Drosophila melanogaster: one gene and its partner. The protein of the gene in region 1 interacts with the protein of each later gene in a biochemical or structural test. Each region holds a gene or a part of one and is shown on either strand. Other genes may lie near its edges.

Region 1 (5,213 bases):
CGCCATATTCTATGTTTCATTTAACATTTGCGCTCTTATTAGCGTTTATTTATATTCTTTTCACTTTCCTTCAGTTCTCTTCTGTAGATATTTGCAGCGACTCTAATTTTGAGATTTAATTAGTTGCTTTTACACGGGGTGGACACGTCATTCCTGGCTGCTGCTGCGGCTGCTGTTGTTGTTGTTGTTCTTGGCTTTATTCCCTAAATACTTTCGCGGCGCACGCCAAACTTCGTTACGTATCCGCCATGTCGTCTTCGAAGGGACGGGCAGCCATGAGTCATGGGCTGCTGGGCGATGCGACGTGCGCAGCAGCAATCAGGAGCATTCAGCCGTAGAGCGGAAGAAGAGTCTTCAAAGAGTCTGGCGCTCCTACGGACGGGATGCATCCCCAACAGGACGGGGGGTTGGACGACGGCACATGTGGGCCACCGCATCGTTGAAGATACTAACCACCACATACACTGCACCACGCACCGCCTCTGGTCGTTATTTATTTTGGGAATTGAGCAAACAGCAAAACGGCGACCGCATTAGAAACAGCAATTTGTGAACGGGACAAGAAAATTCTGCCAAACATTTTCACTCATTGTTTTGTTTTGGCATTCGGCTATCGCTGGTTACTATGGTGGTAATGAAAATCAATGGTTTAAGCCGACAGCTGAGCGACCTGGTCACTGGGAACAACAGGTGTGCATTTTGAACCGTGCCGGAACATGTGTCTCTTCGTTTAGCACCTGAACTTTGCCGCGAATGCATTTTAGGGCCCTCACATCGACAGGTAAACTGCAGTTAACAGCCCATTCTCACCTCACCTGGAACGCAGACGCGACTCATCTACCTGGCTGCCTGGCGCGCCTCGAGTGGGTGTCAAACTATGGCCAACGACACACAAAGGCGCCTGCCTTAATCAACAAAGAAATACAATAACAATAAACAGAAGTGGATCGAGACTATAGCGAGTGATATGCGAGGAAAGCATCTTAAGACAATAACCATATGACGAAGGACGCACTGAATCTTGAAGGCTTTTGAACAGGATGTCAAATGTCACTCATATTCATAAATCGAATCAAAACATTCATAAAATATGCAAGATGTTTATTGTTCAAAATTAGAAAGGAAATTTCAATTGAATAAGAAATAAAATATAACATTACTCAATTAAATTATGACTAAAGTGTGTTTTTTTTTAATTCCTTATTTAAATTTAAATGAATGCGATAAAAACAAAACTAAATGAGCCATTTGCATGATAAATTCTACTTATGATCCCTCAAATTACATATCATACAAACGATACTGTACTTTACCAACCAGGATGCTTTGTTTTTCGAGGGTAGGGAAGTCAGCGTTGCAGTTTTGGAAGGGCAACAAAAGAGGTGCTCTGTTCGGTTTTTACCCCATAGGGGTTAATTCCACGAGTCCATGACCCCTGATGAATGCACATGTGTATATAACTAACTAACCCACACACACACACATGGAGCATACGACGAAACTGCAGTCTGATAAGACGACTTGTGACGAAATTCAGAGTTCCAGGAAGTGCGAAAACGCAGATAATGATATAGGTTGTTGCGGCTGTCGATTGAGCCATGGAATGCTCTATTTCACAAACAAATTAATTCGTATACTTTTTCTCCGACTAAAATTAGCCGCAGCATCGTGGCGACAAAAACGACAAACGAACAACAACAACAACAGCAGCAGCAGCAGCATCAGGGGGCACAAGCACAGATATCTTTAGTATTTCTAAGTATATATTACATTTATTGTAAATCCGAGCACACTTTGTACTTTATATATCTGTGTATTTCGATTTGGTTTTTTGTTTTTCATCCGAGAACCACCAGCATCCCACTAATCGCTTATCCACAGCAACGAATGCAATAAATTACAAATCAATCTATCACTTTTTGTATCTCGCAGTGCAATATAAACAATTGCACTTATGTACAGATATGTATGTACAATCAATCACTCACACACCCGCACAACGCTTGACCCGCTGATTGTTTCTATTTACATATATGTATGTATATATGGGTAAGTGAGTATATAGATATGTATGTATGTACATATGGCACGATTGATAGCCGAGAGGCAAGCAAAATAAACCGAAAAACGCTCTCTGCACGTCCAAATAAACCGAAAGCTAGAACATAACTGACTGAAACTGCGATGCGACCGATTCAGAGCGACCAAAGGCAGAGCAGCAAACGGGCGGAAAACTCGGGCTCATCTGCGAGGAAAAAGGAAAATGCGCTCAGCAGATGTTACGCATTTCCCAATGCCGTACACAGCGAGAAAGCGGTCAGCAAACTCAGTTCATTGGCTACGAATAGAATACAGAAATATCTGTTGTATACTTAAGGGATTACATTTGTGTTCCCAATTCTTTTTCTTTTAAATTTTCATTTTCATTAGGAATCAGAATAGTAATAGTAAATCTAAAGATTATAATAAAAAAATGTATTAAACTTTGACTCTATTCAGCATTTGAAAAAGTGATGAAGCATACAATCTTAAAAATAAAAGTACATCTTATAAGAGTACCTTACAAATCTTATTTCATTTAAAATCGTAAATTAATCCAAATCACTTAATGTTTTTAAAAAACATTTTAAAATAAATATTGATGGAAATTTAGCTTTAAAATTTTTTTCAGTGCAGATGTATTATTGTTCCTCTCTTCGAATTTTTTGGGGTGGGTAATACGCCCATTGTACGCCTGTGCTTGTGAGTATGCCTCCCCCTATGGGGCCGAGCAGTACGGATGCGGGAGAGCTCCAGCTGAGAGCGTTAGTTCCCGATCACAGTGGGCACGATCACCATGTCACATGGCGATCATCTGCTGCGCACTCGCAGTTGCCAGGGATTTCGATGGATTTGCCACACAAGTCTTATTGGTAAGCTATTGTTTATGCTAGTGTTTTGGACTTACTCGTCTATGCTTTTGGACAGTGCCTCGGCTAGTTTGCGCAGGACCCTTCTGTCGATTTCGGCGGCGCCATTCTCCTCCAGGAAACTGGTCACGGTCTCAATTAAGGTGATTTCCTTCAAGGACGATGCACAGGTACCATTGCCGTCGCCGCAATAGTCCCGCAAAACCTGTTTAGACTGGTCCATGGGAGGTCCTCAAATAGTTAACTTTCGCACACAATAATTCTAACACTTGACAATTTCACAAAGGACGCTAACAATTACACTTTTTTTCTGTTTGGAAAATGAAGCGCGCTGGAACAGCTGTTTCTGGCGTCAGTTATCGAAATGCTGCCATGCGCACTGGCAGCACTGCCGTACAACGGGAAAAAGTTAACACAGCGGTATGGCAACGCTGTTCGTCGATTTACGTTACTGCAAAGTCGATTCTTATCGATGGTAAACAACATCGACGGTTTACGAAAATTAGCATTCGCCTGATAAGCAAGTAGAACACTACGGCCACCAGATATAACGCCATGCTATAAACGCTCTGTGGGCACGTTTTCGTCAGCCCCAGCCACAAGCAGGCCAACTTCAGTCGGGGGCAGTACACATACAGAAAATAGAGCAGCGCAACAGAGAAAAAGCTCCCCCCTCGAAAAACCTAACAATGTTTGCTACACTGAAAAACAAGATCAAGGAGGAAACTGGCGATGATGTGGTCCAATCAGCCAATCAACGTTATCCCGGCAACAACAACAACAATTACCGGCTACGTAGTCGCCGCGTTAGCATTAATTCCAACTCAGCTGATGATGTGGGCGGTGGCGGATTCTACAATGAGGTAAACTGAGCGAAAAAAAAACAGTCTATTTGTGTATACTTACACATTAAACAAAAACACGGATAAACAAACACCTTCACTCTTTTCGCAGTCGGAGCAATTGTGCGAGCTGCGAAGTCAGTGCAACGAGCTCACCACGAAGCTGTCCACCGTCACGCAGGGATTGCAGCAGCTGCAGGAGGAGAAGACGCGCGTGGACAAGACCAACGAGATTCTGCTAGAGAGTGTGCGTGTGGCCCAGACGCAGAAGGACATATACTGCGAGGAGCAGGAGAAGATTCAGAATCTACAGCAAATCGAGATTGACAAGCTGAAGAATCTGCTTAGCTTTCGGGAGCAGGAGTCGGTGGATCGCATGGGTCTCATGCGCCAGCAGACCCAGCAAATCGAGTCCTTGAGCGAGGAACTAGAACGTCTGCGTCCCATTGAATCCGTGGCCGAAGATTTACGCGACGAACTAGAGCAACTGCGACATTCTACACAGCAGGAGAAGAATCTGCTGACCACAACACTGGCGGCTGTACAGGAGGAGAACCGGCACCTCAAAAAGCGCATGAAAATCGTCGAGGAGTCGCGACTCGAGTCTCTGGGCAAACTGAACTCCGAGCAACAAGTGCAAGCCCTTATCCGGGAACATAAACTGCTGGAACAGCACTTAGAGGAGGCCCATCTGCAGTTGTCGGACATCAAAGGCTCGTGGAGTGGCCAGAATCTGGCGCTGGAAACCCAAGTTAGTCGTCTATCCAAGCAAGTGGCCGAAGAGACCACCGAAAAGCGAAAGGCCCTTAAATCCCGCGACGATGCCATTGAAAGCCGCAAGCAGGTATCATTCGAACTCGAAAAAGCCAAAGATGAAATAAAGCAGCGGGACGATAAGGTAGGTTAGATAGTAATACCTATGTGCCAATACTTATGCACTTTAATTGCAGGTCAAGCTGCTGGAGGAGGAAATCGATGAACTTAGTGTGGCCCTGAAAGAGTGCCGAGAGGAGAACGAGCAGCAAGTCCTCTTTGAGCGCAATAAATCTGTGAGTATGCCTCCCGATTCTGACGATTTCCATTGGGACTTGTAACACTAATTTAACCAACAATGCAGTACTAACTCTACCAATTAAGCTCCTGGTTTACTTGGAATTTTCCAACCACACCTATTATGTAGTTTTTGATTGTAAATGTTTTCCTTTTCGTATTAAACTGATTTAATCGTTGGCAAACTTTTTGGTAAACTTTTTCCTTCAATAATGCACGCATATATATGTTTACCCTCAATATCCAAAACTGATTGATGGAGATTTTGTAAACCAATAAACCGAATGTTCTCAGCAAAATTTGGAAACAGAGGTAAAAGATCTCAAGACTCGTCTCACGGCAGCGGATGACAGGTTCAGCGAGTACTCCTCGAATGCCGAGCAGGTGGCCCAAAAGCTACGGGTTCAGGTGA
Region 2 (5,234 bases), on another chromosome or scaffold:
CCCAGCATCAGCAGCAATATCGATGGCGTTCCCAGTCACACATAGCGCCCTTAACTCCTCCACAATTGGGCATAATAGAGGTGAAATCGCACTCCAGCGATATGCTGGCGGTGCCTATGCCACCCAGCCGCTATCCGCCGCACGATGAGATCTCACTGTCATCCTCGTCCACGACCATTGAGAAGAAGCCCAAGCCCAAGCAGTGGCTGGAATCTTCGCTAGATGGGCCAGCTGTTATCAGGCAGATGGATTCACAGCCCCACAGTCCAGCTGGGAGTAGTAATGGGAGTAGTAATCCCGGCGCAGCTGCCATGGTTTCAAGTAAACCCCGCGCTAAGCTCTCCTCGCAGTCCATGTCGGTAGCGGGTCGTCACTATTCCATGTCCAACCAGCGACCGACTCCGAATTATCCCAGTGCCAGCTATGCGGTGAATACCAGTTCGAAAGCCCTGCTAAGTCAATCGACTTCGTATCTCAATGCAATGGAGCAAACTTTGGGGATATCGGTATCGTATCCGCTGGAACCTCTGGACATACCAGCACTGCGAAACTTACCACCCAAGCCAAGTCAAATGCAGCAGCCAACGCCGCCGCCCAGACCGCCACCCGCAAATCAGGCTCATACTCAGAACCAGAACCTAAGTCACAGTGGTAATGGCAGTTCAAGCGGACTTGCTCATGGGAATGCTGTCCAAACAGCGCTTGTGTCACCGCCAGTAACAGTGGCCACAGCCAGTTTATCGCCGGAAATTCGCATCGAGTCGCCCAAAAACATGACCGTAGTTCAGCAGGCCACTTTCCAGCCGTACAAGGAAGTGACGAAACCCTTCGAGATGTCCGATTTCTACAAATACTCCACCAAGTTTAAGCAAAAGGAGGGCGGAAATCCTAATTGACCTATAAGGTTGTACGGAATTCTCATGCACTTTCACCTTTTAATGTGATTAACTAAACTAATTTTGTAGCACTGAGAAACTACAAAGCAAAAGCAGCTCAAACTATTGGACTCCTTTCGAATTTTAAGTTCGTTAGCCAAATTATTTAGGATCAAGAAAATAACAATGCTCAAAAGATCTGCCAAATTGAAAACTGACGTATTGAAAGCAATTTATCGAACGACATTCAAATTTTGTATTGAATTTTTAAAGTACAAAAAACACAGGACAATATTATCCCCGAGGGGGACAGAAATCGCCTTACAACAGGATGCCTAGAAAATATGGAAATATTTTATATAGTTAACAGCATTTATAAACAAATAACTGACTAGCTAACTAATAAGTGTATAAAGGATATTTACCCTAATCGAATGATATTTTTATATGAATATACCGATTGGATACTGATATATTCACCGAGTTTTCTTAAGACTAACTACCGACAAGCAATAACAAATAGATAAAAATAAATATTTTATATTAAAATATATGCGAGTGCGTTTTTATTGATATTTAAGCATTCAAATATTTCGTTGAACTTCCAATATTTTTCTCAAAACATTATTAATGCTCTTGTAGCATTTCAGATTTTTTGAATAATTGAAATGAAAAGAAAGCTTTATATTTCCCTAGCCTATAAATAAATGTCTCATTTATACCCATAAATGTGTTCTCACTTCCTTAAATCATTCCTTATCGAATATATCTTGTAGTTCCTTAATCTCTGGTTAAAACTTATTTATAGAACAACCGATAAAACTTAATTACTTTCCTCCCCTTTATCTCTCGGATTTCTCTTTGTTTCTCTCGCGATCTGGTAGTAGTACATTGAATTCTCTCTTTTGGACTCTCCCCAACTCAATGCCACTGCAACAAATTTTGTTTACGATTGATTATTTTTAAACAATCTCTTGTTGTGCTTCACTGAGCATTACAGTATCTGGATGGGGAGAAAAAGAGCGTGGATATCCCCCGATACCCCAAAAATATAAAGACTCTTCGCAATGGATTTGGTTCTCAGTTGCATCGCGCTCGCTATTACGTGCAACTGTTTCAGATCGGTTGCACTATTGGTTTTTTTTTGTTTTTAAGTTTCAAATTTGTCGGTTCTTTCTCCCTCGAGGAGCATTGAAAATCACATAATGATAAATTAAGAGTTCACGCTTTAAGTAGCTAGTTTCCCCCATTGTGTTGTCTTCGTGTTAAACTTTAAATTAAAAAAATATCAAATTTTACGTAAAGTCTCCAACCTAACCTACAAAATTATTCGGTTCGTTGCATTCGTCTGTGTTTGTAAGCAAGTCAACCCGAAAAAATTCTAAAATATAGTGTCATCAAAACCACTACGTAAAAACATCAACAAGAAAATGGATCGCATTTGGGCCACATCTAGAATGCCTATAGATATAGCCAACTGACAGGCGCAAGTGTCAACAAAGGCGGCCAAAAAACAGGGAATAGGCCATAAATTATTTGGTTCAAGTGCAGTCACCATGAATCTGTACACTATATACGATTGGGTAAGCCAAACAATCAGGGGTATCCATTAAAGTATTAACCCATTTGGGAGCCGAACATCCATCATCTGTGCTCTCGGATTGTGCATAAAATCCACAAAATGTGGGTTGAATGCGCCTTGATATGTGTGTTTTCAATTCATTACGATCCACAAACAGAACATGTTGTTTTTCAAGTGTGTTTACAAATGAAATCGAAATTGAATGCGCCTTTGAACTTTCGATTAGAAGACCACAAGGCCCTTCCGAAATCTGTAAACAATCTACAGTGAAAAATACCCAACGGATTAGGAATTTTAAATAATATTTTATTTTTTAAATAAGTATTATATTTTATATCATTGAATAGCATACTTTTTATTATTATAGAGCAACTTTTTAAGTGAAAATTATAATTGAATTGTCCACATTATGCGGTTTTAATTGCTTTGTTAAATAACTAATACATTTATTAGTGAATCTTGGCTACTGTTTCCCTGTTTATTATAAACATCAATATTCATATTTTTGAAAAAATGTCTCGCTACAATAACCGATTCGCTTATCGATTTTGTTGAGGAAAGAATGTTTCTGCAACTTGTTGCTGAATAAATCTAATACATGTACCGCAATACGATGAAAATTTTTGGATAATGTATACGAAAATGATCAAAAATTTTTAATATTCATCGAAATGATTAATGGCTCGAATTTCTTATATTAAATTGTTATTGTATACAAATTTTAAAATAAAATTTGAACTTCAAGTTTTTAAACTTAACTTAAAATGTTTTATGATGATTATAGAATAATTATAAATTACTAACTATAAAAAATGAAATATAACAGTTTTTGAGGGACATTAATTCTGATTATAATACTAATTCTAAGTACTTATATATATAGCTACTTCAGTATCAATCGCAATCGCGAATCGTAAAACAATAGTTCTAAATGCTTTTAAAACTACTCTTTTGCATTTATCACCATCTTCCAAACAAATTTATGTTCCACACACACATTTTGTTTATAAATAAAAAATGGGAGCGAACATTCGGTGCACGGAACCGCTTGGAACCGCGTTGCAAATTTCCGCGGCACTCGCTCTCAATCGCTCGGCCTCTCCCGTGGCTGCTCTTTTCCAACGCTTTTCTTTTGATTTTCCTCGGATTGAGTGACTGATTTCAATTGAATGTCTCTTCGGGCGTTTTATTTATAAAAGAACCTGCACTGCAGGCGGTCGCGTCGTCGTTTTTCGGTTTTCCGCACATTTATAGCTCTATAAAGATAAGAGTGCAGTGTCAGTGCCTGTGATCCCATAAAATTGTTTAAAAAAATCTACGAAACATTTGCATATACGTAGAAGTTTGCACAATGTAACCCTCAATAGCCATTGTCGATATATGGACTTTTTAAGTGATTGTAAATTGCATTTAATTGAGATAACTTCTTCATCGCTGAATTGAATCGAATGAGTGGCGGGCAGCGAAATGGGGAAATTGCATGTGAGTTCAGTTATTGTCCGCAATGTGATCTTTAGCATCGCCCAGTGACATTTGCATCACTCGCCAGCCAAAGTGTGTTAATATCATTCGAAACCGCATGATAATGAACCAAATTAGTGGATTTTTTTTGCATTGCAGTGTACTTAGAGAAAATTATACAGTATTTACCATATTTTCTATAAATTTAGTTACGATACGATCTCATTCTTAATTGTTCTTGAATATTATTTATTAGAATTACTATTTGAAAGAATAATGCTGTAAAAGATTTGGTTTGTAAATCAAATAAAATGCGGGTATAGGATATAAAGCAATTCATCATCTACTTCACAATCATATAAATTGTGTGTTCATATGTAAATTTTTATATAAAATATGAAAATGTTAAATGCAAGCGTTTAAGAATTTATATTAAACTAAACCCTTTAAATGAAATAACCTTTCTTCATAGCAACGCAAAAGAAAATCCTTTCTCCAATCCGAATTTATTTTTGTCCAACATATTTCACTGTCAATTCTGCGCCAGGCAAAGCTATTAATTTAATCATTTTCGCCAATATGCGTGCCATTATTGAGGGTTTATCGACAATATCTTGTGGAAAATCAAAGGAAAGGCGTCAGCGCCATTAACAGAGACGTTGGGCTAGGTCCTTCGCCCCTTTTCCCGTTCCAAAGGGGAGTGGCATTGTTGTTATTAGTCGCCGAAGTGCAAAAACCTCAGACGATCCAACTGAAATGTGTGTCACACCCAAACAACGGCCCACAAAAGAGGTCCAAACTATAGCAACAAATTGAAATGTTTGCAAGGAATGTAAAAGACTTTCGTTTTCGTTTTTCACGCACACTCAAAGAAAATCCGTTGTCATGGTTATAGGTGCAAACTTGTTATCCCGATATCCTTATCGCTGTGCTGGTACTTCCTGAATGTGTTGTTGTTGTCTTTGTCCTGACAAGTTCAAGGACGTTCAAACCACCATGTGGCCGGGAATTGGATAACTTTTTCACAAGCATTTTCCGCTAATATTGTGAAAACTTTGTCAAGCGTTACGGCCTGACCCACATGGCGTATGTGTAATATGGAAAATATATTTTTCAGTCGTTCAAAATACAGTACGGACTTGAATTGTATGTAAATTACAATTTAAACTTAATATAAATGGGAAATAACTCTTTTTTTTTTAAAGCAAATATTGCAATAAATATATTTTAAATAAAATTTAAAAAGTTTGCATATATGTAAGCCGACATTTACTGTATGATCTACGATATAAGTTGGAAAAGGCTTATTATTCAAA

Evidence for each region.
Region 2: the proteins of cnn (region 1) and Plp form a complex in vitro, tested with the Drosophila melanogaster proteins (one study listed by BioGRID).

Annotation. Positions count from the first base shown.
Region 1 is NT_033778.4:13,447,227-13,452,439, forward strand, and holds the start of cnn (centrosomin), read right to left. Parts: upstream 3,250-5,213; 5' UTR 3,133-3,249; coding exon 2,948-3,132; intron 2,175-2,947; exon of another isoform or gene 1,771-2,174; intron 103-1,770; exon of another isoform or gene 7-102; coding exon of another isoform or gene 1-6. Other genes in the region: Golgin97 (golgin 97), read left to right, coding at 3,599-3,772, 3,864-4,649, 4,702-4,800, 5,096-5,213. UniProt on the Drosophila melanogaster protein: Core component of the centrosome throughout spermatogenesis. May participate in mitotic spindle assembly and the mechanics of morphogenesis through an interaction with microtubules, either directly or indirectly. Is a target of several homeotic genes.
Region 2 is NT_037436.4:15,087,016-15,092,249, reverse strand, and holds the start of Plp (Pericentrin-like protein), read left to right. Parts: upstream 1-2,056; 5' UTR 2,057-2,431; coding exon 2,432-2,458; intron 2,459-3,696; exon of another isoform or gene 3,697-3,924; coding exon of another isoform or gene 3,925-3,939; intron 3,940-5,234. Other genes in the region: sstn (stepping stone), read left to right, coding at 1-896.